Oreochromis niloticus: one gene and its partners. The protein of the gene in region 4 purifies or fractionates together with the protein of the main gene of each other region. This does not show direct contact. Links are inferred from orthologs where the notes say so. Each region holds a gene or a part of one and is shown on either strand. Other genes may lie near its edges.

Region 1 (7,118 bases), on a different chromosome or scaffold from region 4:
ATGTAATAAGGAGGAAGCAGTGCAAGAAGAAAGTGTTTGACAGCTGTCAGGGTCGTACTGACTGTTGTTACTTTAGTTACTCGAACCTTTCATCTACTCTAAAAGTAAAAATCAAGCAGCTGATTGGTTTATCCTGCTGGTTCAGATTAAAGGGTCTTCACTGCTCAGCTGTAGGGAGCCACTCGGTACACCGTGACACGAGGTCACCGAGAAGAGGCGTTTGGATTTATTCAGTCCCAAGTGGCCTGGTGACGCCTGTTGTTACTCGTTTGCGTTAAAGCTGCAGGTCACACATTTAAATCAGCTACTGTTCCTTTAAAGCTGCTTATTGTTAATTCTTGGGTTTAAAATGGTAAATGGTAAATGGCCTGTATTTATATAGCGCTTTCTAGTCCCTAAGGACCCCAAAGCGCTTTACATATCCAGACATCCACCCATTCACACACACATTCACACTATTTAAACCTCATAAACTAAATTAAAGCTTTCAGTGGAATTTAAACAGGCAACTGCTCTGAATTTAACCCAAACACATGTGTGCTGTGTCAAAGATAAAAGCTGCACTTTGTTGTAATACCACTTTGCACCACAAGAGGGTGCAGTGTGTCACTGTAACCTTTATTTAAAAACAGGCACGTCTGTATTTTAAACGACAGCCTGGCAAAAGAGGAGATCTCATGAGGAGCGGTTACTAAAAAGAAACCTGTTAGTAGTGCTGCCCCCTAGTGGTCAAAGTTTTAGTAACAAAAGTTAGCAGTAATTTCCCTTCACCGAACAACCACAATCACATCGTCCATGAAAACAGCAGTACAAATCTTTACGTTATAAAAGTCTCATATAGCAACTCTATGCATTTATGTTTCCCAGCAAAACAACACAAGCCGCGTAATTAATTGAAAATAAATCAAAACCGATGTTCAGAACCCCCAACTGATGTGATCTGGTCCATGTCATTTTTTTTGTTTTAAATTTAAATTCTGTTAACATTTCACCCAATGAGAGTTCACGCAGTTACGTGCCTCCATGACATGAAGCATGATGTAAAAAGACCTCAACACAGTTTCAGTGTCCAAAGGTAAGACCACCAATCTGTTTCAACAGCTGGAGCGCGATCACAATATCGCAGCTTTAACCGCTGAGCACATTTACAGGTCAAACCCTGTCAGCAAACTATGGGGGCAAGAACAAGTAAATAAAGGAAACTCCTTTGTTAATGTTAATCGAGGTAAAATGTTCAACTACTTGTTTTGATTTGAGGCCCCGCCCAAGCATATCTGAGTACGAGAGCAGTGTGAGGACTTAATAAGGGAGCTACTCAACAACTTCACTGCTCTGCAAAATATGAACGAGAGCTGTTCCTGATGAAGGTGGCAACAACAAACATGTTTCACCACTAGAGGCACAAACACTACGAAGGAGGAGATGCTAGGAGCCGGTGTCTTGGGTTCGAATCCAGTGTGGGGCCTTTCTGTGTGGAGTTTACACAGCACAAAGACATGCATCTGTGGTTAACTGGTGATTCTAAATCGGGCCAGTCCCCTCACCCATCGGCTCTACGATCTCTACTGCCTACTGGTTAAGACTCAGAGATCAGATTAGTTATACAGGGAGTCGATCCAGACTCCCTGTCTAGGGTGTGCTGGTTCCACAGATCAACAGTGTGGGTGTGAGTGGTTACCTGTCTCTCCATGTAAGCCCTGTGACACACCTCACCTGGCCAGGATGTGCCCTCCTTAAGAATTACAAGTTTAAGTTACTTTAGTTTAACAAAAACTAAATTTCCACAGAAAACTCGACCCAGAGTATTTCACTGCAACTCTGCGGCTTTCAAAGGAGTAAGGAGTAAAGGAGGCCATTTATGTGAAAAAGGAAAGACCATCTCTGAACCGAGGAGGGGGCCTAAGAGTACGTCTTTCACCTTTCACCTACCATTCCCCTGTGACCTCTGAATGGTTCTCGCGCCCACCATCAATGATTATGACAATAGTATATTAAAGATCATGAAACTTGGCTGGTGCTGGTTTTGGATGATATGCAAATGTTTAAAGGGCTGGGGAAAACTGCAGCGAGGTGAGAATGAGGAAGAAGTCACAGGTGAGTGATGAATTGTTTCTCCCACTGAAAACAAAATGCCCAGATGAACAGAAACAACTTTCTGGGACTACCTGGAGTACTTGTGTGCTTACATTTGACTTTTGCTGTGTCACTGCTGCTGCACTACAACACTGCTGCTTAATAAAAGCCACACTTTAAGGTCAGCAGCTCACTGGAAAAGAAGAAAGGATGGGTGGATGGATGTCCTTCACCCAACATGATGCGCACTATTTTTCATAGCATAATAAGTATTATCGCAAATATTTCTCTAAAATATCGCGATGTAATTTAGAGGCTGCATCACACCCCGCTGGTGCACATGACCTGACTGCAGCTCCTGACTTAACTTTCTATAAGGCAGCAGAGGTTGGACGGCTGGAGGAAAACTCGGGTTGTAGCTGATTCGCAGCCGATCGTTTTTTAAAAAAATGCTATAAATAAATAAAGTTACTGTTAAAGATATGAACATACGGAGGATCTTCTGCGAGGAACATAGGTGAAAGGAAAGCTTCAGAAACGAGATTAAACACTAAAATACAGCAAATCTGGAGTAGCAGACTGCGCAGACTCGCCGTGTGTCGCTACGGTGACATCTCGGCTATGATTGAACCTGTGCGCGAGGGGTGAACAGCTTAAATGTGCCTCCCGACACCAAACAGAAAGGTTTAGGTGACGACGTGGCTAACAGCGGCTCACAACAACAACAGTCAGGCTAACGTCATCACGACATGGTCGTTACAGCCGCTCCGAGCCGTGCCGGGTTACCTTTTCAAGCCTCCACTCCGTCTCTCCCCGTTTCTCCGACGCCAAAGACTCACAGCGAGACAATAACCTGATGAAATTGATTTCTAGTCGGGAAGCCATGTTTGGTTTGAAGCCGCACAGCGGCGCAGCAGTTTGACGTCAAGCAGAGCGGCGCAGACGTTATGGGCGGAGCGTCGCCCGCCTCTTTTTTTTTACGTCGTCATTGAAAATTTCAATTTAAAAAGCTAGACTCATTATTATTATTATTATTATTATTATTGTTATTATTATTATTGTTGTTGTTGTTATCAATAAGATCTCGTTAGACCCCAAAGTTTTATCTTAATCTCTTTCTCTCTATTCGAGAGAAATAAAATAAAATAAATATAAAACACACCATTCTGGCACGAAAACCACAACATGTCTGTATGTAGTACTTTTTTTATTTATGTATGTTTTGTATGTGTTTATATACAGTTCTTAAAAAAATACTGCCATAAAAACACTCAAACATAACCATTTTATGTATTTGGGTAAAACTAAAAGTTATATTGTTTTTAAAATTTTATTTATTGGGCAAATAAAAAACTAAATTCACTTTTTTATACCCCAATTTGAGGCGCCATACTGGACTTCTCTGAGAGTCAAGCACAACGTTCAACAAAAAAAAACAACGATTTTTTCTTTTCAGCAATGCCATTAAACAATAATAATAATAATAATAATAATAATAATAATAATAATGATGATAATAATGATGTGGTTTGCTGTTTTTCAGCTTTTTTGTAAAAGATAACATTAATAAAATGAAAAATATCATTTTTGAGTGTCAGGCTTGGACACACTGGTGGCTCAGCCGTTACAGAAACATAGAAAATGAGTTTGATATTTTCAGTACTGTTAATTTAGGGTAATTGTGGAATAAACATTGCACTGGGTGGTGGCCTGATAGTTTATCAAGTATCCATGTATGCCTATATTGACTGATTATGTTTTGTTTTATAAAACATGGGTTATATTTTGCTGTACGGTATCTATGACACTCAAACTGCCTTACATGTAAACAGATGGAATGAAAGATTAGCACTTGATATAAAGTCATGTTGTGCTTATCACTATACTACAGTGCGTAAAGTATAATAGGCCATTCAGTACACTGTCTGCATCACTTTATTTAGTGGCGCAGCAAAGATGAGTCAGGGCACTCAGTGTTTAGACCTTTTCTTATGCCTATCATCTACAGCTTCTAGAATCATAGCTATTTTTGCAGTGTGGAGCACAGATTGGAGACAGTTGTCTGAATCTTCTCACCAAGGTTCTTATCTGTGGCTCAGACACTTCTGCACCACCAGTGGGCTGAAGTTGGAGCTGCTAAAGGCGTTTTCCAGATATGAGGCATCTGTGGATTCCTGTGGATAAAGTTCAAGAAGGTGGTCTGTCTGCAGTCCGGCAGGTCACATGACACAGCCCGTTCAAATCCTCAGAGCAGCAATTTTAGTCTTCATGTCAAAAAAATAGTCCCAGTCTGTTCAGGCCTTGATCGCTTCAGGACTTTGTTTGCACCTGTTAGGTGGGATAAACACTTTGAACTAGATTAACAAATAATTATAAAGACCTCACATAACTACCACTGCAGCGCCCTTCAACCTGAACATGCCCAGCTGTGAGGGTGGTGCAGAGAGGAAAACAATCATCTATCAATACTCACGTATACCAACCTGCATGGAGGTAAGTGAAACTACATCAACTTTAATTTGCTTAACAGTGGATGGTGTGCAAGGCTGATAAATCACCCACGACCAGGAAGGAAAATGCTGACCGCAGTTCAGGGCGTAAAAATGGTAAAAATAAATGTAACCACTTCAAGGGGCGCATTGCGTGACACTGTTAAAACTCATGTTGGTGTAATTTCCTGTGTGCGGCTCTGGTGCAGCTTTATGAAGTCTGAAGAAATAACTCGTATGACATCACTTGAAAAACAGATCTTGCATTGTGGCAGCTGATCCTGAACTGTGGAGCCTTTGTGTGCTAAAGGTGCATCAATTCCACTCCACACAAAACACCCACAAAATCAAAAACAGTGAGGTCTGTGCAGACGGCTGCAGTTTACTGCGACAAAGAAGCGGCTCATTTAAGAAGACCTGACCCGAGTTTTAATGACTGTTTAATGCAGGGACGACTCTGAAAGACTAAAATTATACCCACCTCTGGGAGTTTTAGCCATCTTAAAGCAAAATGTTAAACATACACACTCCGGCCACTTTATTAGGTACACCTGTTCACCTAGTGGTTAATGCAAATATCTAATCAGCCAATCACACAGCAGCAAGTCAGTGTATTTAAATATATAATCAAGATGACCCGCTGAAGTTCAAAATGAGCATCAAAATGAGCAAGAAAGGGGATTTAAGTGGTTGTTGGTGTGAGGATTTCAAAGACTGCTGATCTGCTGGGATTGTCCCACACAACCATCTCTGGGGCTTACAGATAAAGATCCAAATAAGAGCAAATATCCAGCGAGGGGCAGTTTGATGCTAAAGTTCAGAGGCTGGCCTGACAGCTTGGAGCTTATAGGAGTGCAGAAGATCATCTCTGAACATGTTAAACCCTGAAGCAGATGAGCTACACCAGCAGGAGACCACACCAGGTGGTCTGTACCCAGTACTAGCAACATGTACCTAATCTAATGCAATGAAGGGAGTCTATGGTGAATGAATTTTGAATTTAGGTGCAGTATTTCTAGTTTCATGTTACTACATTTTGTCTGTGCTGAAGGTCCAAGTCAACCTATGAACCTAATTTGGAGCAGACTAACTCCTGGAGAGTTTATAAACGTCCTACAGTTTTATTTTAATAACCCTTGTTTATCACCATCGTCTGTTTCCAGGGTAAAAGAAAAACGTTCTAATTGTGCGTGATGGAAACACACAGCAGCGGACGTTACAAGCATCATGTACTGTATTTTCATGTTACTACTAATAAACATTACAGCTCATTCAGTCAAAGTCACCATGCACTCTGTTACACATCAGAACATCTTCCTCATAATCCAGACAAACCAACATCATCATACATCATCATCATCATCGTCAGCAGTCAGAGAGGAACATTAGTATTACATTTCATACAAAGTTGGCCGGAGCTGTGCTTCAGCACTTTTCTAATAATGGGACTGAGTGATTTTAGAGGAGGGGAAGTTCAAGGACACGTGGTGCCACCGCTCTTGGATCACGGCTGGGTTTGTGTGGGTTTTTTGTCGTTTCTGTGGAGAAAGTGGCGTGTGCTGCTCCCGTTCCCTTTGCTGCATGAATGCAATGATTTCCTATCTGGTGTGTGTTGTGCGGCGGGTAAAACATGAAGGTGAACAGAAAAAGCTGTTTGTTTTTGTGTGTGTGCAACAGTCACAATGTGCAGGTTTAGGTCCTTGTTTTCCACAACAAACACATCCCTCCCTCTACGAGCACCGTTCCATCATCGTGACATGAGAATGAGCTTCTTTATCAAGTCAATGTACAACATCAAGGCACTAGCTAATGTTTCAGCGAGCGAGTTTCACTCACTGGGAGAACTAAGAAATGAAAAGTGCGACTGAAACCTGCAATATTTTCTTGAATTAGCACAAATTTAAAAAAAAAAAAATCATTATGAGGCTACGGGAGGAAACTGCCTCTGGTCCAACTGAAGCAATCAACAGTGAGGACAATATATTAAAAAGATTGAAAAGGTGCTTGGCAACATGTGGTCCAGTCCTTTTTACTAACGACACGTTTGCATTGGCTGATCGAGTTCCCTCAGACAGCAGCAGCTGCAGTTTGTGTGAGCTGGGTTCATGCATGTGGAGCCGCAGCAGCTGCGCGTGTCGTCGCGTCTCTCCTTTCCTTTCATACACACATCAAGTTCCAGCCTCTCCGAGCGCTCTGCTGCCGCCTGCGTCGAATCTGAGAGCGTTTGAATTCGTTTCGTTTGTCTGCTTGCGGGTCGCCGCCCTTAATCCTCTTCGCCGTTCCAGTCGTTTGTGCTCCTCCCTGCTCAGACTTCATCATCCACATACGGGATGTCTGGGTCAGAAAACCGTCTGTGGACATTTGGGACTTTCGTGCCGCTGTGCTGGAGCTGAGGAGTGGGCGCAGCCGTGGAGATGGAAGAAGAGGAAGAGGCGGCTGAAGGAGGACAGGAAGAAAAACGCAGCACCAAGTCGCACTCTGAGCCGTCGAGGTAAAGGGACTGGGTGCTGTCTTTACGGCGGCCGGGCTGCTCTCGTCTCTTGACCGAGAAGGCGG
Region 2 (7,028 bases), on a different chromosome or scaffold from region 4:
AGTCAGTTTCTGAGAATAAAAAGCTACCTTTTAGTATAATAAAGAGGACATGAATATGCATCATGGGAGTAACTATGTGATCACACTTGTGCCTTAGCCAGCAGCTGGCAGCTTATCATGTTAATGATAAAATGACCTTCAGCCTATCTAACACTGTTCAGTTGTGAGATGACAAAATGGGTCATGGTAAATAAACAAATATTACATTTTGGGAATATCGATTCCCAAAATGTGAGCCGTAGCCCCCAGGTGGGCTGCCAAGGAACTGCAGGTGGGCAATGAAGTCATTTACAATAAATCAATTTTATATTATTTACTGCCATTAGATATTTAGAAATAAAAAAAATAGAATGAATAAAGCAATATCGTGAAATTTCAAAATTAGATAATTAATTTTCTGACCTATTTTGATCCTGAACAATCAATAGTAGAAAAACACTAACATGAAGATGGTCCCAGAAATAAAGCTGTTAATGCAGAAGCTCAAATGAATAAATTAAAACACAAAAAAGAAAACACTTGTGATAGTGTGATTAAAGGTTTGGGTGATCCATAGAAAACGTTCATATTTTAAAATGGTAAGGCTCTGTCTTAAGTCTGGGAACGGCTGAGCTACAGAATTAGAATTAAGAGTTCCTTAAACTTCTGCAGCACTTTATCACAGTGAAAATGTAGCTTTTAGTTAGCTGTGGGCATAAATATAATGCTACAATTATCCTGTTCTTGCATCTTTTTAATTACTAAAGAACCCAACAAACCTATTCATCCAATAGCTACAACACTTGTACTTTGGCAGTGAATGTATGGTGCATATAAATAAGACTTTCTCATTAATCAGTTATCGGGCAGACTTCTGAAAGGTGTTTATCACATACATTCATATCTCCATTCCAATGAAAAATGTGCTTAAAAAGTCAGCACTGATCAGCAGAGTAAATTAAAGTATTATTTTTACTTTCCAGCCCGGTCCAGAGCCATGGCAGCAGTGTCTGGTGTCCCGTTCTCCATGTACATCATGCAGGCTTTCTCTATGTACTGGATGGCCTCTGGCATTTTCTTTTGTTCCTGATGCAAACACAGCAGAGTTACAATTGTGCTACTGAATCATTATCTCTATTTGCTTTATTATGACGTCACTGTGGTTTTAGAGTGGCTGCACTCACCTTCATCATCATACCAGCCTGTTCAATAGCCCTGAGGAAAGAAGAGTTTGAGTCAAACAGGTGTTTCCATGTTTGCAGCCACTTCAATATTACAGGTTATTAAGCATGATACTTACTTTGCAGCATGAAAAAGCCTGAAGGACAAGCTAAGGAAACAGCCAAACAAGAGTGAAACTGTGTCATACTAACAAATATATGGCTTACCAATAAATCAGATTACATTCTCCATTAATAAAATGTTAAACCCCTGATACAAACTTCCCACAGTCTAAAGTATCATCTTTGTTTGTCTAAAACACAAATGCATATCAGAAACAATCATATATGAAAGAACGCTAATTCTCATGTTTGACATTTGTTCTTGAAAATTACAAACAATCTGCAGCCACTGATTTAGTTACAGATAGTTCGAGCCACAATGGAGCACATTTAGTCTTCTAAGCTGCTTTAATTCTTCTTAGCAAAAATCAACAAGTTGCTAGAAATCTTCCTCAGAGGTTTGGGTCCTTGGAGACGCAGCAGGATTACAGTTGTTACAAATTTCTGGGCAGCACCTTACAAATGTGATTCTACTGTTCAACTTCGTCCCAGAGGTGCTCTGTTGGATTAAGACCTCCTTCGATTTTTGACACAAGGCAAGATGAATCCATGCCAACGTATAAAGTGCTCATGAAATGAAAACTCATCAGAATCAGGGGTGTAATAATTCTTCAAAGCCAGATTTGTTTTACCAGGGTTTGATGGCAGGGTTTTAGCTCAAATCTTAGTTTTCCTTGAGAGGTTGAATAACAAAATACATATGGGAAAATAATCAGTTTGCCACAAATCTTGTCACTTAATTCTTTCATTATAAACTGATGACATTTCAATATTTCTATGCAATATCTCCACGTGGGTCTCACAGTATGGAATGACAGAATTATAATACATTGTGTATGTTTGTGCCAGAGTCTTTCTGGTCTTGGTTTTAGAGTTTTTACACCCCTAGTGAGAATAACTATGGTACACTGTTAAATCTGCGATAAGCAGGTACCCTGGACCAAGCTATTACAGGATCCAGGGTGCAGGGTTAAAAACGGTTACACCCCCACACTGCCTGCACGCTTTGTGTTTCTGTTGTCTGATTGGCTGATTAAAGGTTTGCTTTAAAGAGCAGCTAACAAAGTGGCTAGCGATTGCACAGAATATATGCAGACTTGTGCCTTTCCTTTGATCGGGAAAGGATACGTTTTGTTTTCTGTGTGGTACTCAGCTTCCTTCAGATAAGCATCCTTTGCTTGTTCATACTGCTTGGCATTCTTGAAGCACACAGCTAGAAACAAAGCACAGAGGTTAGCTCACTGTGAAATTATATATTTTTAATATATAGATTAAAAAAACCCACTCCAGTTTTAAGCACTATAGTGTCGTTTCGTGTTTTACCTGCTTTGGCGTATTCTGATGCAGCACTGTCAAAGTCAGGCTTCCACTTTGTCAGACTCGTTTTTAAGCTGTAAACACACCACGAGGAACAAATAATAAACGAATAATACAACTATAGTGCGATGGATAAATAACCATAAAGTCACTTTATGTCGCATAACCTTTCAACAGAAAATACACAGTGGCCTTACAGCTAGCTAACGTGAGTAGTAAAACTACAGAGCAGGAAATAATCGTTTTTGTCCTCGCTCACCATTTCTCCGCTTTAGCTATGTGCTCGTGCGCTTCGTTTATCTTCTGAGCAGCCATGATGTTGATCGATCAACTCGGTTATGAGGAATATGTTATTGATAAACGACTATGGATGTTGCTTCGTCGATGTTTGGATTACCAGGAACTCCTCCTCGGCCGCAACGTCACCAGCTGTCGCAAGTTACGGATGCCGCATTGGACAAAAAAAACAACAGCAGGGAATGCGAAAATCTGGCTCTAGTACTGTAATGCAGCTAAAGAATTTGCTTTTTGTTTTTTAAATGAAAGACTATACAATCAGATCCATAATGGCACATTTTTTGGCAATTTCCCCTCTGTTCACCACCACAGTGGATTTTTAAATGAAACGATCAAGGTGTGATTTAAGTGCAGACTTTCAGCTTTAATTCCCATCCCAAGGTTTAGGTGTTTACTGTCTAGGGTTTACAAACAATGTAATTTTCAGGCCCTCGCTTTAAAACCAACTCATTTATAAGCTCAGTTTAAAACAACAACAGCCTTTGCTCAAAGTCTGGATTATGAATTTGGAAGCAATCACAAGAAAGTCTGGTGACGTGGGAGTCTGCAGTGTGGTTTCAAATTCCAGAAGTTTCACAAAGCTTCAGTCTAATGTTTGCTGATAATATGTTTTGTAAATATAAAGAAAAATAGAGTGCTAAATTAATGCAGGACTGCAAGGGCCTTAACTTAACCCTCCATGACTAACAGGTCTAACAGAACACCATGACACCACCAGTGTTTGGTAAGGTTGCAGGCACAACAAAAAAAACCACCCACAACTAATTCTGTAACTTTCCATCAGGGAGCGAATAGGCACTGTTAAGTCAGGGCGTGGGCCCATTGATTATCTTCAGTTCACAGTGTATTTATTTAAGTATCTTGTATTCATTCAGAAATTTGCAATCACATACTGGTTCTGTACTTTTTTTTTGTTATTTTTTCGTAGCTGAGGACAAGTGAAGGCGCAGGAGGCTATAGCAACTTGACATAGTGGGCCTCTTTAACATTTTCCAGATGTGTGTGGAGTGAATGTATGGAACCCGTACATGTTAATACCATTGGCAAAGCACCAGATAGTCAGTTTGCCATGCTTATGAGAGCTACGTCAAACTTTATAGGACAGTGCTCTTTTGTTCTCTTTGTCAAACTGCACTTTCCCTTGTGGTCTTTACTGTTTTTTCCTTGCCAAACATTAAATCAAATACACTTGAGCAGAATTCCTGAGAGCTTTATATGACTGTGAGAAAACAGGACAACTTGCATTGATTCTTCACACTTACACTAGATATTCACAGTCCTGTTTGTTGGACTGCAACCTCAAGTCAAATAAAACTTGTACATATCACAAATTTACCTACAGGGGCTTTAAAGGGATCAAGAATCTCAGTTGTGATACAAAAAGAAAACGTTTTTTTTTCATGGTGAAAAGAAAGTATATCTGCCCCCTTTTCTAAGGTTTTACATGTCAGGATATTGCAAAAAAAATGAATTAGTCATTGGTAGGTCTTAAGTTTAAATGAATACAGCTTGAATTGAACAACAAAACATGATGTATTACATTGTGCCATTATTTAAGTAAACGTAGAAACAGTGTGTGAAAAACTGAATGCACCCCATGATTCAGTAGCACCTTTTATAGCAATAGTTTGAAGCAATAATAAAGGTTTGCGGGGCATCATTTTATTCACAGCTCTCTTAAGGTCAAAACTGTGATCAGATTGAATTCCAGACTTTGACTGTGACATTGCAACACCTTTATTATTTTCTTTTGTCAGTCATTGTGTTATATGTTGGGCTCACTCTCCAGTTGCATGACCAATTTCAGTCAGACAGATGGCTTCACAACTGACTTCAGAAAACTTTGGTATACAGAGGAGTTCATAATCAACTCAATGACTGCAAGGAGTCCAGGTCCTGTGGTTATGAAACAAGCCCAATCTGCAGCCGTGCTAACATTTGGTGTGAGGTGTTTGTGCTGATATGCTGTGTTTGGTTTTGCCAGACATGCCACAAGAAGTCTCGTGGTTTATTCTGAGGCCATTTTCCAAACCAATGCCGTGCTGTCTTCATTTTAGAGAAAAGAGGCTTTTTCCTGGCAAACTTTCCAAACAAGCTATATTGGTTCAGTCTGTTTCTAATTGTACTGTCATGAACTTTTAACATTGAACATGCTTACTGAGGTCTGTGAAATTTGTAGTTCTTGTTTTTTCTTTTTTGCAAAGTCCCAGAGCCTGTGCTTAATTTGCTTGGACATCCACTCTGAATACAAACTGGCAACTGATATCAATGTTTTCCACTTGTTAATAATCTTTCTCGGTGTAGAATGATGGAATTCAGTGAAATTCATATGGACTTAGAACCTTTTCAAGACTGATGGGAAGCAACAATTGTTTCTGTAAGATCAATGCTGATGTATTTCCTTCTTGGCATTGTGTTAACACACACCCGAATGCTCCAGACTAGCAAACTGCCAAAACGTCTTTTATAGAAATGCTCAGAAGTTGCTGGTGATTAAATAATCAAGGGCACTTAATTACCAGGATCTGACCTCTACTTACCCTCTTAATTCTTTTGGGGGAAGGGAGGGTGTATTTATTTTTACCATGTAACCTCTATATTTTGACTTAATTTTTGTTAAATAAATAATTACAGGGTATAATATGTCATGTTTTGTAATTCTTCTGAGGCTTTATTTACCCAATTGTAAGACCTAATAAGGACCAGATTATGCACTGAAATCTTATAATTGATATAATTGACATCCTCTTATAATTGACATTATAAGAGAATGTGCCCTGTTTTTTTGTTTGTTTGTTTGTTTGTTTGTTTGTTTTTTACCAGAACTCTTATTCAAGATCCCATTCTTTGTAACATGCAGACCTAGTAGGTCTCTCTACATGCAGGCCTAATATTTGGTTCCTTTTTTTATTGAAAACGTTTAATAAATCAAAAAAACATGTAAAAGTAATTCATTCTGATTACAAGTGATTAAACGGTCTCTGTTTATAATTTTAAAAAAATGTATAAAAATGGAAATCATAGCCACCGGAAGCGGAAATGACATCACGGTGGCCCCGGTCTCTAATGGCTGAACAACAACAACTGTCTGCGACTGACAAACTTTCGCAAACTTCATCAGAGACAAAAGAAAGTTAGAGATACCGGCTTGTGTTGCTTCTATAACCGGTTAGGGTTATTTGTCTGTTCGTCTTATAGTCACAAATGTGGGATTACTAATGGATCCGAGGTATGATATTCCACGGAGGGCCGCCGGCGGTGGCGGCGGGGGCTCCGCGAACTCGTCCCCCGCTCTGGGGGCTCAGTCACGCCGCAGGAAGATGCCTCCCAGACCCGCTGATTTCAAACTTCAGATTATCATTATTGGCTCTCGTGGTGTTGGTAAAACAAGTCTCATGGAAAGATTTACCGACGACACTTTCTGCGAAGCTTGCAAGTCAACCGTAGGTGAGGACAGAAGGCATTAAAAGGTTTAGTTTTTTTTGACAACTTTTCATTTAATCAGCTAAAACATGTAGAACGGCTCCGGCTAAATACTCGAGGAGAAATGCTTAAACTACTGTGGGGTGCGCCCAGTGACCATAAATCCTCCAAGTTCACTGGCATAGCGACTAAACTTTATTTCTAATGCTAGCTGTAGCCCGCTAGGTATGTTGATAACAGTATCTTAGCCAGTTGACCATGGTGACTGAAGTAACAATAGCATTTCCTTTGACTTCAATCACATGAACTAGGTTTCCTTAAGCTTTTTTTAACGTTTGCATGTAGAGATTTTAGACTTCTGCTAAAGGACAGCGTTTTTATTAATTAAATACGAATGAATAATTGTACTTTATTACTGTTCTGATAATATTTGCAGAATATTATATTATAGGTATTATGGGTCTGAATTACTATGTTTACTTCTAGTTAGCCTGTTTTGGTTATGTTAACCAGGAAGTAGTCTTATCCAATACCACCTTGATTTTACTGATGTATCTCTACACAGAGAACTAACATGTTGCATATTTCTACATAAAAACACATTCTTTAATTATTTGATTATTTGACCACTGGTATGTTTACTTACTGAACACGAGATTGCCTTGTGACAAATTGCCAGTCGTGTTTGCAGATTAAAAATATACATGAGATCTGTTTATACATTCAGCT
Region 3 (7,543 bases), on a different chromosome or scaffold from region 4:
GTTGGCGTAGAACTCGTCATTCTCAGCTGACAGGACCACCTCTCTCAGGTCTTTGCTGATCCCGGGGACTCTGGACAGGTCGATCCTGTTGTTGTTGAGGCCAAGCAGCTCGTGGACCATGGCCTGGTATGTCCACTGCAACACAGCGAAAGCTCGTAAACACGCATGCACTTCACACAGACACACAACCAGTGAATTTATGATTTGCTGATTTTGTAGCGGCACACAACATCCATCAAATTAAAGTGACAAATGAGCTGCAGAGGATGCAGTGTAAAAGATGACAGAATTATTAAAAATGTAAAATGATTTCCTTTAATTAATTTCTTCATCGACGTCACAGAGGACAGCGACCAGTCACCTGATTGAGCAACGGCGTGATGGCATCGTCGCTGCGGTCCAGGATAAGCAGCAGAGGAGGAACTTCAGTCTTCCTGAAGTCAAACAGCTCGTACTCCTTCGTGATGATTTGCTGACAACAAACAAATAAAATACTGAAGAATAAAAGTACTACTCAGAGTACTACTTGAGTAAAAGTGTTAACAGCTTGAGGCTCAAGTGCTTTAACCAAAGGGCTCAGGTTACAGCACAGAGGTGGCATCATCTTCGAACAGCCAACAGGACACACGGCGCTAAAATAACCTGTAGTGGCATTAAAAGCACTTTTCAGTGATGACGTGTGTGATGATGATGCTGTGGAAACCTTGACGCTCTCCGCGAGCCGTTTGGACATGTCTGAGGACAACTGGTAGCGGATCATTGGACATTTCTTCAGAGCAAGCAGGACGGAGGTCAATCCCTGAGTGCAGCGTGCCAACATAGAGGGTTCCCAGCTCCGCCCCTAAAAAGCACACACACACACACGCACACGCACACACACACACACACACACACACACACACACAGAGGTGATGTGATTTCAGTGTGTGGAGCTTTTTAGGGTGGAGCTCTGACAGCTGAGGGCCTTGTGGTTCTTACCCGAGTGACTCCCTGCAGGTTCAGGGAGAAGAGGTGAGGATTCACGGCGATGAAGTCTCCGTAGAACTCCTGCAGACACACACACACACACACACACACACACACACACACACACACACACACAGTAAGCTATACTTCTGCTATTTTGGTTTTGATGATGTCACTCAGGTGTATGAACTGTGTTCACACCAAACATGAAGCAGAGTGATGGTGATGCTCACGCAGGGAGGAGGACAGCTTTCCAAGACATCCTATGAATTCTCGGCACAGTTTTGTTCTGTGTCTGCATTAAAATTAAATTTGATCAAACAGCTCGGCCCGACCACAAACCGCCATAGGAAGCTCCTCCTCCATTTGTGACTATCAGTAGCATCAGGAGGATCTCACCTGACATTTGGAGAAATGATGAGAGGCTAATGGAGCACTGATGGTCACGCAGGCCAAACTGGATGTTACTAGCAAGGAATTCTTTCATATTACATACATATACATAAACTTAGCATGTTGGGCTACATGTTACTGATGTCATCAAATGAAGTCGTCACAGAGGAACACTTTCAGCTGAATGTAGCTCTAGTCAGCTGAAACTCTGATTATAAACAAGTATTTATTGCATTATTAGAGGAAATGTTAAATCAGTGAAATAATGATCTGTCCAAAGACTGAACCAGGTTTCCACATGCAACAAGGAGGTGAAGAGAGAAAAAGACTCTGGACTAATATCATTGTAATAATAGTGACGTTGTTAAGTTATCGTGTTGTTAAGATGTATTTTGGCAGTCAAGTTCAGCTAAAAATGAACCGCCATGACTGACAGAGAGATCTTACATCATCAGTAATGTGGAAATATTAAACCCCCACGCTTTCTCTGAGGTCCTGACACTCACCTGGACTTCAGCCACCACTTCCTGTTCATCAGCCTCAGCCAAGGCCTTGATCTCACTCTTACTGATCACGTTGCTAAAGTCTGAAACACACACACACACACACACACACACACACACACACACACACACACACAAGTCAGGTGATGAACTTCAGATGAAACAGACTGAAACAAACTTCTGCCCCACACCTAACTCCACAGAAAAAATCTCTGATATCTGCTCAGCTGACAAATCCACAGCTCTAAGTAGAAAACGACTCACATTTGATGACAGTGTCACTGTGTTTAATCAGACTGGCGTCATTAAAAGCAGCAGGATTCGCTGGTAGCAGGCCCTCATCCATGTGTATCACGAATTTTCTGATTACATCACTGATCTCTAGGATTCTGCAGCAAAGCTAAACTCAGTTGCATATGTTAGCTTCCGAACTATGTTTGAACTGTCCGAGGAAGACGAGTGCCAAACCAGCAACCCCGTTCTCCTCTCACTCCCGCCCTGTCACTGTGGAAACTTACAGATAAAGTAGACACTGTACTTGGGCCTCCTCAGCTCCTGGATCAGGTGCTCCACATTCTCCTGCAGCAAGCACACAAACACACTGTTGCAGATGGTGTTACCTCACACACAGACACACACAATGTTACTCAGAGGGTGGTTTGTACCTTGGTGGGCCGCAAGAAGCAGATAGCTTTAAGGTGCTTCATGTTATCTCTGTTCTGAGAGTCAATCCGCTCAAACAGGTAAACCTCCTTCTGCAGGATCTCAGACTGAGTGTACACCACGCTCACTATACTGGTCTGAACACACAGACGCGCACACACACAGACACCATCAGACACAGTAACGTTGCTGTAAACACTGCTCAGCACCAGCACCGCTAACAGTCCTGGGTCGGTGCCTCACCGTCTCCTTGTCCATGAGCAGCACCTTCATCCCGGGCCCGCTGATCTCGATCATCTTGGAGATGTACTGCTTCACCTCGAGCGTCACATTCATGATAGCGACACTCAGAGACCACAAACAAAAACAAATAAACAAAGAGCAGCGGCTACAGAGAGGGCTTTTCGTCTCTTTACCTGCGGAGCTGCTATAACAACACTGGTGCAAACTTCCTTCCGGGTCCCTGACATCACGTGCCACACGCACTCTGCTTGCGTCATCGGGTTCTGAGAGATTTTTTTAAACTAGTAATAATAATAATAATAATAATAATAATAATAATAATGATGATGATGATGCATGTTGATATTGCCTTTTAGGCTGACATAGAATAACATCCTTCAGTCCGAATTTTAAAATGGAAAAAACATAAATTACACAATTCCACTTATGAAATGCTTTATTTATGCCAAAAACAATAACAACAACAACAACAACAAATACTAGACTTAGTAAACATGTATCTTATTTACATATAAATATATTTACTGATTTCTTTTTACATTTTGTTGGTTGTTGTGTTAGGAATCGCCAAACCATCCTGACATTTTGGGCTGGAAAGTTTAGCTAGATTCCGGAGCTGTTACATTAGAGCCTTTGATGTTCGCCGTTCATGTCTTTAATCAGAGTTTATAGACTCTGTAAATAAAAACAGTCCCAAACCGATTAACTCTGTGTTGCTAATAATTAGCTTAGCATTAGCATGCCAAAGATAAGAAGCATGCTAACAACTGTTAGCGTGCCGACATGAAGCTGAACTCTACTTAAACTGGCAGAGTGTGGTGCTTAAACTGAGCGTATTTATCATCGATAAGCAAAAACATCCGGTTACGAGGAGGAAAACATTTAATAAGCCACATATCAAAACAGCTGCTGTGAGCCCCACGGACAGGTATCACTCCGCTCTGTCTGAATGTAGTCCCGTAACAGCAGCAGCGCTAACAGGAGGTTGTTGGCGGAGGGATATGGTTGTGCTAGCAGGAGCAAACAACATCCCCAACGTGTGTGTGAAGACCACACATTATTCATTTTATTCCTAAAAGAAAAGCACACGGTTCACAGGCGGAATTTTAACGGAATATATAATTATTTTGCACATTAAATGTCCGGATAAGGTAAGCGTCTGGTTGGTATACTTTTTCAGTGGATGTCATCCAGAGTTATTGAAGTCTTTGAGTTAGCAGCTCGGCTAGTTAGCATAGTTAGCTCAATGCTAAGCTGCAGTGTGGAGAGACTGTAGGGAAAAATAACGGTGTATAGATTTGTTCATATCACTCAACTTTTAATAGTTAGAAATCAGTAAGTGAAACGTCGTTGAGCTTTAGCATGCTAAGCTGCAGCTGTGGTTACTGAATGTGTTTTTATTGAGTTTTGAAACTTGCTCATGAACTGAATTTATTAATGTATTTTAAGCTCTGTTGCTTCTGATCGAGTTTAGGGTCAACTAGAACAACTTTGAGCTACTCCCTCTATCAGCTACTAATTAAATCCCTTTGTTGTTGAAAATAAAATATTAATAGGAGCTCCTTATTGATGAAGTTGGCACTGCTAACTTTGAGATAACCACTAGCAGAATGCTCATACAGGGCAGCTGACATATTTATTAATGAAATAGCTTCAGATCTGTGTAGAGCTGCAACAGTAAACTGGGTTAGCTTTTACTGTTTATTTAGTTTTTTAAAATTTGTTTTCAAAGATTTAAACCAAAAGGAAAGAATTTTAGTTTGAGATTTCCTTTTGTGTTCAAAAATAACATTGGTATAATTAGCCACATGCTCTTTGTTAGGAACCCCCTGTGAAATACTTTTATAAAGCTTATTTTGACTGATGTCCTGTTTGAATTGCAGAATTGGTTTATTAGACTGTATTAAAAATGAGGTCTCTATAGATAATCTCCCTGTTCAGAACAACTGTACCTGATGAATGTTTTTATAACTTTCAATTCAATTAAATTAAATTTTATTTATATAGCGCCAAATCACAACAACAGTCGCCTCAGGGCGCTTTATATTGCACAGTAGATCCTACAATAATAGATACAGAGAAAAACCCAACAATCATATGACCCCCTATGAGCAAGCACTTTGGCGACAGTGGGAAGGAAAAACTCCCTTTTAACAGGAAGAAACCTCTGGCAGAACCAGGCTTAGGGAGGGGCGGGGCCATCTGCTGTGATTGGTTGGGGTGAGAGAAGGAAAACAGGATAAAGACATGCTGTGGAAGAGAGACAGAGATTAATAACAAGTGTGATACAGTGCAGAGAGGTCTATTAACACATAGGCTACGTTCACACTGCAGGTCTTAATGCTCAATTCCGATTTTTTGATCAAATCCGATTTTTTTGTCTGCTTGTTCACACTACAAATAAAATGCGACAGCAAACGCGCTCTAGTGTGAACGCTCAAAGCGACCCGCATGTTAAAAAGAAGATGTCACACACAACTCGCTCTGTTTAGACCCAGAGCAAACAATATTGTTTGACTGATGGCCCTTAATATAAAGACTTCAGACTTTGTTTCCCAATTTTTGCTTTAAATTATTCTGTTATTTACATAATAATGTAAATAACCTAATAATGATCCTTATTGCTGTTTTAGAGGAGCGGTGCTTCAAAGGATAATCTGCAGATTATACAGTACAAATAAAATGTTCACGTTGTCTTCCCAACAGTTTCACTGACATCTACACTGGATGGCCAGGAAGCGTTCGCGATGTCTTCTCCGGCGCTGATAATTGGCATCTGTCTTGTGTCAGTGATGTAAAAGACGGATTTAATGCGACATGACCGTTCAAACAGCAGTCGCTTTCTAACACATCAGATACGTATCGGATTCAGTACCACATACGAAAGTGACCCAGATCGGATTTGAAAATATCGGATTTGTGCTGTTCACACTGTCATACCATGATCGGATATGGGTCGCATAGGGTCAAAAAAAAAATCGGATTTGATGCGCTTTCGCCTGCAGTGTGAACGTAGCCATAGAGAGTGAGAAAGGTGACTGGAAAGGAAAAACTCAATGCGTCATGGGAATCCCCCGGCAGCCTACGTCTATTGCAGCATAACTAAGGGAGGATTCAGGGTCACCTGGTCCAGCCCTAACTATATGCTTTATAACTCACCTGTTGAAATTGGATTAAGGCTTAATATTTGCATTTTTAGAGGCATGTTTGACTGATGGGTGCACGCTGACAGAGGTGGTTCTAGCTGCTAGCTGGCTGCTAACTACTGACTTGGACCTCTAGTTTTTGTGCAGGTTTGTCTCACAGGTGTGTCCTTCCACCAGGCAAGGAGATGACAACAGAGGTGGAGAGGCCAGCAGGAGGCACAGCTGACCAGGAGATGAAATGTAATGAAGAGGAGGAAGAGGTCCTGCAAGAAATGGATGATGAAGGTTAAAAACACCCAAACAAACAAACAATTCTGTACAGTGAAATGAGTTCTGCATATGCAGGTTATCCTTCCATTATCTCGATTCACTTAACTAACTGCCATGTCTAAGAATCTGTATTTATCAGATTAGATAGATTAGATGAAACTTTATTAATCCCTCGGGTGGGTTCCTCCGGGAAATTCAGTTTCCAGTAGCAAAGCACCGAAAGAAGTTGCATGTTACAGATACAATAAAGGGGAATGAGAGTAAGGATATAAGCATAAATACACCATATATACACATATATAGATACAGAATATACAATATTCTGTATCTATATAACACAGTCGAATATAAGAAAAAAAACAAAACAAAACAAATATTGCACAGTGTTAAAAAGCACCTACAGCTCAGTTGTTCCCGCCCTCCTTTGTCCTCCTGTTTCCCCTCCCTCTCCCCTCCAGTGAGGAGTTAAACAGTCTGATGGCATGTTGGACAAAGGAGTTTTTAAGTCTGTTGGTTCTTGACTTTGGGAGAAGCAACCTGTCGCTGAACAGGCTCCTCTGGTTGTTTACGACTGTGTGCAGAGGATGCCCAGCATTGTCCATAATGTCCAGCAGTTTCTTTAGTGTCCTTTTCTCTGCCACTGACACCAGAGTGTCCAGCTTCATGCCGACCACAGAGCCAGCCTTCCTGATCAGTTTTTCCAGCCTGGATGAGTCCTTCTTTGCTGTACTGCTCCCCCTACACACCACAGCATAGAAAAGTACTCCTGCAACCACCGACTGGTAAAACATCCTCAGGAGCTTCCTGCAGATGTTAAAAGACCTCAGCCTCCTGAGGAAATACAGTCGGCTTTGGCCTTTTTTATACAGCTGCTGCGTGTTGTGTGAACAGTCCAGTTTGTTGTCCACCCACAGCCCGAGGTACTTGTATGTGGTGACCACCTCCACCTCCTCTCCCTCTATCTGAACCGGCAGTGGACCTTCTCTGGACCTCCCGAAGTCCACAACCAGTTCCTTGGCCTTTGAGGTGTTGAGTTGCAGGTGGGTTGTGTGACTCCATGTGACAAAGTTCCTCACCAGACTCCTGTACTCCTCTTCCTGATCATCCCAGATACACCCCATGATGGCTGTGTTGTCCGCAAACTTCCGAATATGCCATAATTCAGAGTTGTAACAGAAGTCAGAGGTGAAGACCTGTGCTGCTGACCACAGGGTCAGACGTGATGTCCTTCAGCCTGACGTGCTGTGGTCTGTCAGTGAGGTAGTCGGAGATCCAAGCGACCAGGCAGGGGTCCACCTGCATCCTGTTTAGTTTCTCCTGGAGCAGACAGGGCCGGATTGTATTGAAGGCACTGGAAAA
Region 4 (6,983 bases):
CTCCATCCACTGCCGTTTGTTTTACATGGTGAAAAATCTGCAGTAACAGGGAGAGTCTAAACTGGGGAATGGGGTGTACTAGACCATATTTATTTCATGGCTTTTGTAACATTTTTCAGACTGAAAGTGAAATAATATACAATACTGTGTTAATGAAACTGCATTAATAGTTAAAAATAAAAAACTTTTTTTCATTAAACTCTTAGCCACTGCCCTGTGGGTTGTTAGATAGGACACTGAATTATTATTATTAATATTAATTAATGCCTGCACTTTCATAACGCCCTGTTTTCAGCAGTACAAAAATTGGCATCAAAGCACAAGGAAAACTTTAGAATGCTGATATTTAAGTCTCATTTAAAGGCTTACAGACAAACTCACTGCACTACTCACGACTATGAAGTATCGTACGTCAAGTTTTTAATGCCACGTGGTGGCACTCTTTTAATATCTCTAAATCATAGCAGCTAAAATGAAATAATGAGATTAATTTTTAAAAAAAACAAAAAAAATAAAATAAAATTTACTCAAATTCTTTTCCGCTTTTCTTTTATTGATGCAGAACTTATGTGCAGCTGTCATGTGATAAATAAACAGCAGATAGATGGGTGCTCATTAAATAATTAAATCAAATTAGGATTTATCAAAATTATCATTCTCCTGACATGATTACTCTCTTATCTGCAGCCAGTCCTGCAGGTTTGTCAGGTGAAGCAGCTTAAACTCGATGAGTAATATCATAATAATCAAATGACTCATCAGACACCTCAGTTTATGGAAGGACACGTGGAGCAGAAGGAATGAAACCTCAACAGTACTGAAGTACTCAAAGAGTACCTCAAACATGCTCTCACTAATCAGGAATTTCACTGTTTATAGCATTTGTATGACGTTAAAGATTTAATAAAGTAAATAAAAGATTTAATAACATTTTTAAACCATTTTCACTTTCATTATCTAAAGCTTTTATATGAAAAGGTGTAAAACTTACAAGTGTACTTCATCTATATTATATACCCCAAAGTGATGTGTATAGTTTACCTTGTGGATCTGCTTTTTTGAAGGCATTTCCAGCATCTATGAAGTTGGTTGCTGCATCGTGTTTGCTTTGCATCTGCAGGTGAAGGTGAGCAGCTTGGGAGAATGCATTTCCTGCAGCTATTAAGAAGATAAATTGTTGCATTTTAAAATCACTGAAGCACATAGGAAAAAAAGAAAGAGGCATTCAATACATTTGTTGTGTTGAAATGTGACAATCATCTTACCACACCAATTCTTGGCCATTTTGTACATGTTGGCTGCCCTCACCAACATGTCACAGGCTTCTTCCAGCTTTGAGGAGCCACTGTGTGACAAAACATGTTTTTTTTTTCTTAATAAGACATCCATCCATTGCAGATTATCACGGGATGATATAAACACTTCACTCGGTAAAATCCCTTTGGAAAGATGTATAATCAGCTGATTTTTTTTTCTTTTTAGTATACTTACATGCAAAATTTTAGCACCATATTATGAATATTTTAAAAGCAATGGGTCAAAACTTTATTCCTTTTATTATTTTTTTTCTCATTACTTCACATGTACAGAAGCCCGCCTTCTGAAATTTTCAGGGCTGACAAACATATTTAAGTCCGTTTCAAAACAGCGACCAAATCAATTTTGAAACCCACTCTCACACCCAAGTCTCACAATCTAAAGCCAAAATCTAATTTTTGCTCATAATGATTATGGGATATGTTATAATTTAAATAGTACAACTGCCTCAACTGAATGCCTATAACATAGAGGAAGAGGAACAAGGATTGGCATGCGAAATATTTGATCTACTTTTTTTTTTTTTTTTTATAAATAAGTCACTGGTCGAAACAAGTTATAGCGGTCCTTTTCCCAGCCGGCACTCACTGATTTTTCATTGAGTGACGCCAAAAGACCATGTTTGCCTTCAGTGTGCAATCCTTTAAACTTTCTTTAAGTTACTATTTTATAGTGAGGAAAGGTTTGTAAAACCGTTTATTAGTAGAAATATAAAAGTGTTGACTCTGCTTGTGATTTCAGTCCCATTACCCACACACAACTATCTTGACAATTACATTTTCAAGTTTCGCCACAAACCCCTCGCGGATTTTACAGCCTCATACATAACACATAGCCTTTAACCTTGCACGTGAGCTCCTGCTACAATAAAAGAAAAAAATCCAACCTGAAAAATTAACCTGCATTTAGGTTGTTATATGCAAAGCCCGTTGTACAGGTTAGTGAGAGCTAGTCTTACATGCACTTTCGCTACATCACAAGTACGTTTTCTTCTTTTGCTGTAAACAAATGTGAATGACACGTGATTTGGACTGAGTGGCCTTCCGAAAACTGCCCAACAGACGGCGCTATAGGGGAGGCGCTGCCTTTACAATTAAGTGAAATTATCTTAAAATGTTAAACAATTCAGCTTTGGGTTCAACTGAATCTATTTCTAGCATGAAAGCTGCCTTAAAGCGGAGTCTAAAATGAGCATGTACCGACTATTTCCAGCTATCTTTCACACTAAACGCTTTCCAGTTATACGACGAGCCGAGAAAAGGTAGCTATGCTAAACGACAGCCTTGAAAATAACCGCATAATAGTAACTACAACTTATAAAGGCAATCAACAGTTATTTAAAATCGTTTTGTCCTGGCTTTTAACCCTTGTGGTCAGCTCCCAACCTTCCGCATAGCTGTCTCCTTTAGCCAAACGTTAACGTTAGCTAGCTGACAGACTCACCCAAACAACGCTCCAAAAAACGACTGAGACGATTTCATTTTCTTTTCAGCCTCGGCCATCAAAGCATTTGCTTCCTTTTCTTTTCCGCTGTTATCCATTTTCAGGCAATCGTTCTGTTTCTGAGATAGAACGAATAAATGTAAAAGTCAACAAACTCGCTAACCACTGCTAGTGGCTGCAGGCTAACCTTGTCACATCACCAGCCGCAAAGTAACCATCACCTCTGTCACGTGACACAGGAGCACCGACGCACTACTGTTGCTGCTGGTGCATTCAAGTACTCTTTTGCTATCCAGTATATTAGTCATATCTGGTAACCGTTAGAAGTTTTTTTTTTTTTTAAAGTTACATTTAAATCTTCGTATGGTTTTAGTGTAGTTATTGACTTTGTTTCAGTAAACTGAGCTTTCCTTTTTCTAACTTTGGAATATCTGTTTATTGTCTGGTATGAGCTGGTATGAAAATCTAGAACTGGATTATTCCATAGTCTATCCAGCTAACCAGCTAACAACTACATCTAGTGTTTCTAATCATCATTAATGTAAAGGAGAATACATCACAGCTGTACAGAGACTGCTGTAAAGTTAAGTGGTGTCATAACAGTAAATTTCTATTCATAAAACACAACCCTAAAAATGTATTAAATAGCCTCCTTCATTTTCTCTTTTGACTATAACTCAAACATACAGTATGAATACAAAATATGCATATGTAATCACAAATAGTTACATCAACAAGCTATAATATCCAGCACAATGGTTCTTGGTTTGTGACCAGCCTAAAAATAAATCGATGGATGGATAGTCAGTTCATTAGAACTGCATGTAACATTACATGTTAATTTTTATTAACACACTAAAGTGTTAAAGTGATATCATGTGGTACTTCTCATGGTTTGCATATACCACTGATTTCTTAAATATGTTTTAAAAAAGTTTTAACAAAGAACAATCAAACAGTTCAACATACACAAAGCAATTAACACCACCCTCTTACCCCCACAAACACACACACACCTGACAATTTTACTACACAGTAAGACAATCAAGGCTTATTTAGAAAAATAAACTAATACATGAATAAAAAAAACCATAATTATTATGGTGGTAATGAGTAATTAAGTAAAACAAGTAAAAATAAAAACAGTTAACTGTTCCCCACAAATTCGAGTGCACTGCATGCATGTCTTCTCAGCGTAACCAGTCAGCAACTGCCATCAAGTTGTAACAGAGTTGAGGTTATTTTCTAGGGGCATACAATCTGAAAAGAAGTGACCACACACTGAGGAATAACTCTTCATTTCCTTTTATTTTCCTTCATTTCCATGCAAAAGGAGTGTTAAAAAATAGTGATAGTTGTGGTTTTATTTGTAGCAGCTTGTGACAAATTCTCCTGACATGATTACTCATGTGATTTGTGTCTTTTTTGTGTTTTTGCAATTACTTTTGGCTCTGTTTAGCAGTGCTCAAACAATATTATTGATATGGACCATATAGAAACGTTTGCACACTATAATGCTGAACAGCATACTTCAGGGTCACCACATTGACCAGGTGAGCAAACCTGATTAGCAGGTGTTGGCAGAACACTAAACATTGTTTGGAAAGTTAACATGCTACAATATGCCTTATCGCTTTTCAGTATAACTGTAGTATCCTAGTTGTATATATGAATATTGATTATCAGACAAATAATTCATATCAGATTTGTTGTGTAAACTGGTACACTATTTCTGCTTGCTTTGTGAGCTGTACTAGGCTACTTTGACTGATAAACACTTTATAGCATAGTCTGTGACTAATCCCCCTGTAGCAAAAATTTAATTTTAATGTATTTTATTTGAAATTATAATCCAATTATACTTACCCACAAATACCTAAATGGAGGTACATTAGAATAAGGGAGTTACAAGACGAAGTTTTAGAGGACACAAATAATTAGTAGTGAAAAGCAATGCATAACTTCAGTTATTTTATATTAAAGGATGCACAAATTAGTAATTTTTAGTAGTGCCCTGCTACTGTATCAGGGATGTGCCTTATCAGGCCTAGACGTTTCCAGGTATGTGCTATTTACTTCGTTTTTAAACATCAAGGGTTAGCTTTTCGCGCGATATCAGCTGCAAATCTCCAGTCGTTTTTCCTAAAAAAAGACTTCAGACTTCAGGTTTACGAACAAAAACAGCCCCACAAATTTACTGAGAAAGGTGTTTAAATGTACGAAAAACTTTGCTAAGCACGTCGAAAGAAAAGTTCTGCCACGGTACACGCAGGAGGAATAGATTTCAATCAGGCAAACCGGAAGTCTCCTGTTTCCTGCCTTGTAGTTGGGTCCTGTACAGCAGCCCGTGCGAGGCTGTCCTGGAGACCCCGCGCTGCCTGCACCTCTATCGTCTCGGGTGAGTTTGTTACAATGTAGCAATTTCTCTATTAATCCAAAAAACTGTTACAAAGCTGCAATATTCGCGAACTGCACGCGAGCCGCGAACTGCACGGCTACCGCAATCGAAGCGCCACGCTGCCGCACGAACCGGCGAACATGCTCATTTTCCACCGAATTCCCAAGCATACCCCCCTCATCCAAGAGTATTCCAACATTAACTCATATTTTGCTTACAAGGAGAGATAGCTAGCTACGCAATTGCATTTACGCTTCAAAGCAGACAATACTGCCTTGCCTTTGTCAAATCGAGGCATCGTTGTGCAGTAGGAGTGTTAAAATTGTGTCACTCGCTGGTTTGTTTTGAATGTCAAAGCCTCAAGCTAGCTGTACGTCTCAATATTGTTGATAGCTTGTTGGCTTAGCTGGTTAGCTAGCTAGGCTAACGAAAGTCAACCCAGATGCGTTAAAATGACTGAAAATAGAGGCAAAACAGTGGTTTAAAATTAAACGTTTTGTTAAATTAGAGTCTTAAGTCCGCAGTGTGGCTACAAAATACTCCGTGTTGTGAGTAATAAGCGAAATATACATGCAAAGCTTTTTGAAAACACTAGCTAGCATGTAGCAAGCCGCTTGCAGTGACTCCATTCATATCCTGCGTACTAGCTGCGCTCTAACTGAGCAATGGCTACGATCTGCTGCTGCTTCAGAGCGGCAACTGGGTGTACGGTCGCTTTATTGGTCTCGGTAAACTTGTGGAAGCTGATTTGAGATGTTATTTTCGTGTTGTTGGAAACGAAAGGCACAGCTGGTGTTTTGAGTTGTGGTAAATTCAGCGGGAGGCGAGAGCCCGTTCTCGAAATCTTTGCAGGCGGAGCGAAAACCGCGCGTTTTCAGTTTGTTGTCTATTGCCATCCGCTGTTTTCTCGGATTTTAACAAATATGAGTTCTGCTTGGTCTCTCTATGGGTTCGTTACCACATGGGGATTTCTGTTGTTGATAAGTGTAGGTGTTAAAAGACGTTTAATTTTTTGAAAATCAGTTTCTGTATTTAACTGTAAACTTTATTATTATTTTATAATTTCAGGACCTCATATGTTATTTATCACGTCATGCCTGCTTTATCCTAACAAGACACCGAAATATCTGACAGTGATAGGTGATGTAATGATTTGAGTCATTACTCATAATTTGAATGTTAAAAACACACAGGGGAAAATTGAGGACTTTGAAATTAAAAACTATCGACTGACCTTTTCTGTATATCATATGTGATGGACTTCATAAATGTTTATTAATATGGTTATTAACTAACTATATAGCCCATACTACCTAAGAGTAATTAGAGTGTTTAAATATAACTTAGTCTTTTTGGATACCAAATGACCATGATGGTTAGTCCAGCTTACTGGATAGCTTTGGAAGCAAGAAAAATGTTTAGATTTTTAATGTTTGTGATTTTTCAATAAAATGCATTTCTAGACCTGGTAAAGTGATGCCATTTTTACATTACAGCTTAATCCCTACACTAAACTGTATTTGAATTGAAAGTATTTCTGTATCTTGACAAATTTTGAGTCATAAAGAGTAAAATAATACATTAGTTCAGTTTAAAAACACTCAGAATAAGAAGGTTTTGTGCTTTTAGAGAGATACTGTAAGCTAGTATAGGCTGTTCTTCATCAGTGTTGCACATCGATAGGTAATTAAATGTTAAATGTTTAGTTGTACTTGAATAAATTAACAGGAACGTATCTTATTGTGAAACTGTTTTACTGGTGTGGCTCACTAGAGATCAAATTCAGTTGTATGTGGCCCATTAACTGAATATAGCTTGAACCCCT

What was found.
Region 1: the proteins of napab (region 4) and use1 purify together in Homo sapiens (affinity purification with mass spectrometry; 3 studies listed by BioGRID and IntAct, counting the BioPlex papers as one, with this or other methods). This does not show direct contact. The link is inferred for Oreochromis niloticus from reciprocal best matches to the Homo sapiens genes NAPA and USE1.
Region 2: the proteins of napab (region 4) and napgb purify together in Homo sapiens (affinity purification with mass spectrometry; 3 studies listed by BioGRID and IntAct, counting the BioPlex papers as one, with this or other methods). This does not show direct contact. The link is inferred for Oreochromis niloticus from reciprocal best matches to the Homo sapiens genes NAPA and NAPG.
Region 3: the proteins of napab (region 4) and vps45 purify together in Homo sapiens (affinity purification with mass spectrometry; 3 studies listed by BioGRID and IntAct, with this or other methods). This does not show direct contact. The link is inferred for Oreochromis niloticus from reciprocal best matches to the Homo sapiens genes NAPA and VPS45.

The regions. Positions count from the first base shown.
Region 1 is NC_031986.2:44,592,928-44,600,045, reverse strand, and holds the start of use1 (vesicle transport protein USE1), read right to left. Parts: upstream 3,017-7,118; 5' UTR 2,959-3,016; coding exon 2,860-2,958; intron 1-2,859. Other genes in the region: unconventional myosin-IXb, read right to left, coding at 6,868-7,118.
Region 2 is NC_031982.2:24,895,124-24,902,151, reverse strand, and holds the start of napgb (N-ethylmaleimide-sensitive factor attachment protein, gamma b), read right to left. Parts: upstream 3,007-7,028; 5' UTR 2,895-3,006; coding exon 2,839-2,894; intron 2,654-2,838; coding exon 2,586-2,653; intron 2,476-2,585; coding exon 2,391-2,475; intron 1,298-2,390; coding exon 1,280-1,297; intron 1,195-1,279; coding exon 1,164-1,194; intron 1,066-1,163; coding exon 956-1,065; intron 1-955. Other genes in the region: rab12 (ras-related protein Rab-12), read left to right, coding at 6,095-6,323. UniProt on the Homo sapiens protein: Required for vesicular transport between the endoplasmic reticulum and the Golgi apparatus.
Region 3 is NC_031985.2:38,208,350-38,215,892, forward strand, and holds the start of vps45 (vacuolar protein sorting-associated protein 45), read right to left. Parts: upstream 3,013-7,543; 5' UTR 2,862-3,012; coding exon 2,769-2,861; intron 2,663-2,768; coding exon 2,528-2,662; intron 2,442-2,527; coding exon 2,381-2,441; intron 1,946-2,380; coding exon 1,866-1,945; intron 1,048-1,865; coding exon 979-1,047; intron 842-978; coding exon 704-841; intron 473-703; coding exon 362-472; intron 136-361; coding exon 1-135. UniProt on the Homo sapiens protein: May play a role in vesicle-mediated protein trafficking from the Golgi stack through the trans-Golgi network.
Region 4 is NC_031979.2:33,407,376-33,414,358, reverse strand, and holds the start of napab (N-ethylmaleimide-sensitive factor attachment protein, alpha b), read right to left. Parts: upstream 3,008-6,983; 5' UTR 2,859-3,007; coding exon 2,761-2,858; intron 1,346-2,760; coding exon 1,266-1,345; intron 1,159-1,265; coding exon 1,042-1,158; intron 1-1,041. UniProt on the Homo sapiens protein: Required for vesicular transport between the endoplasmic reticulum and the Golgi apparatus. Together with GNA12 promotes CDH5 localization to plasma membrane.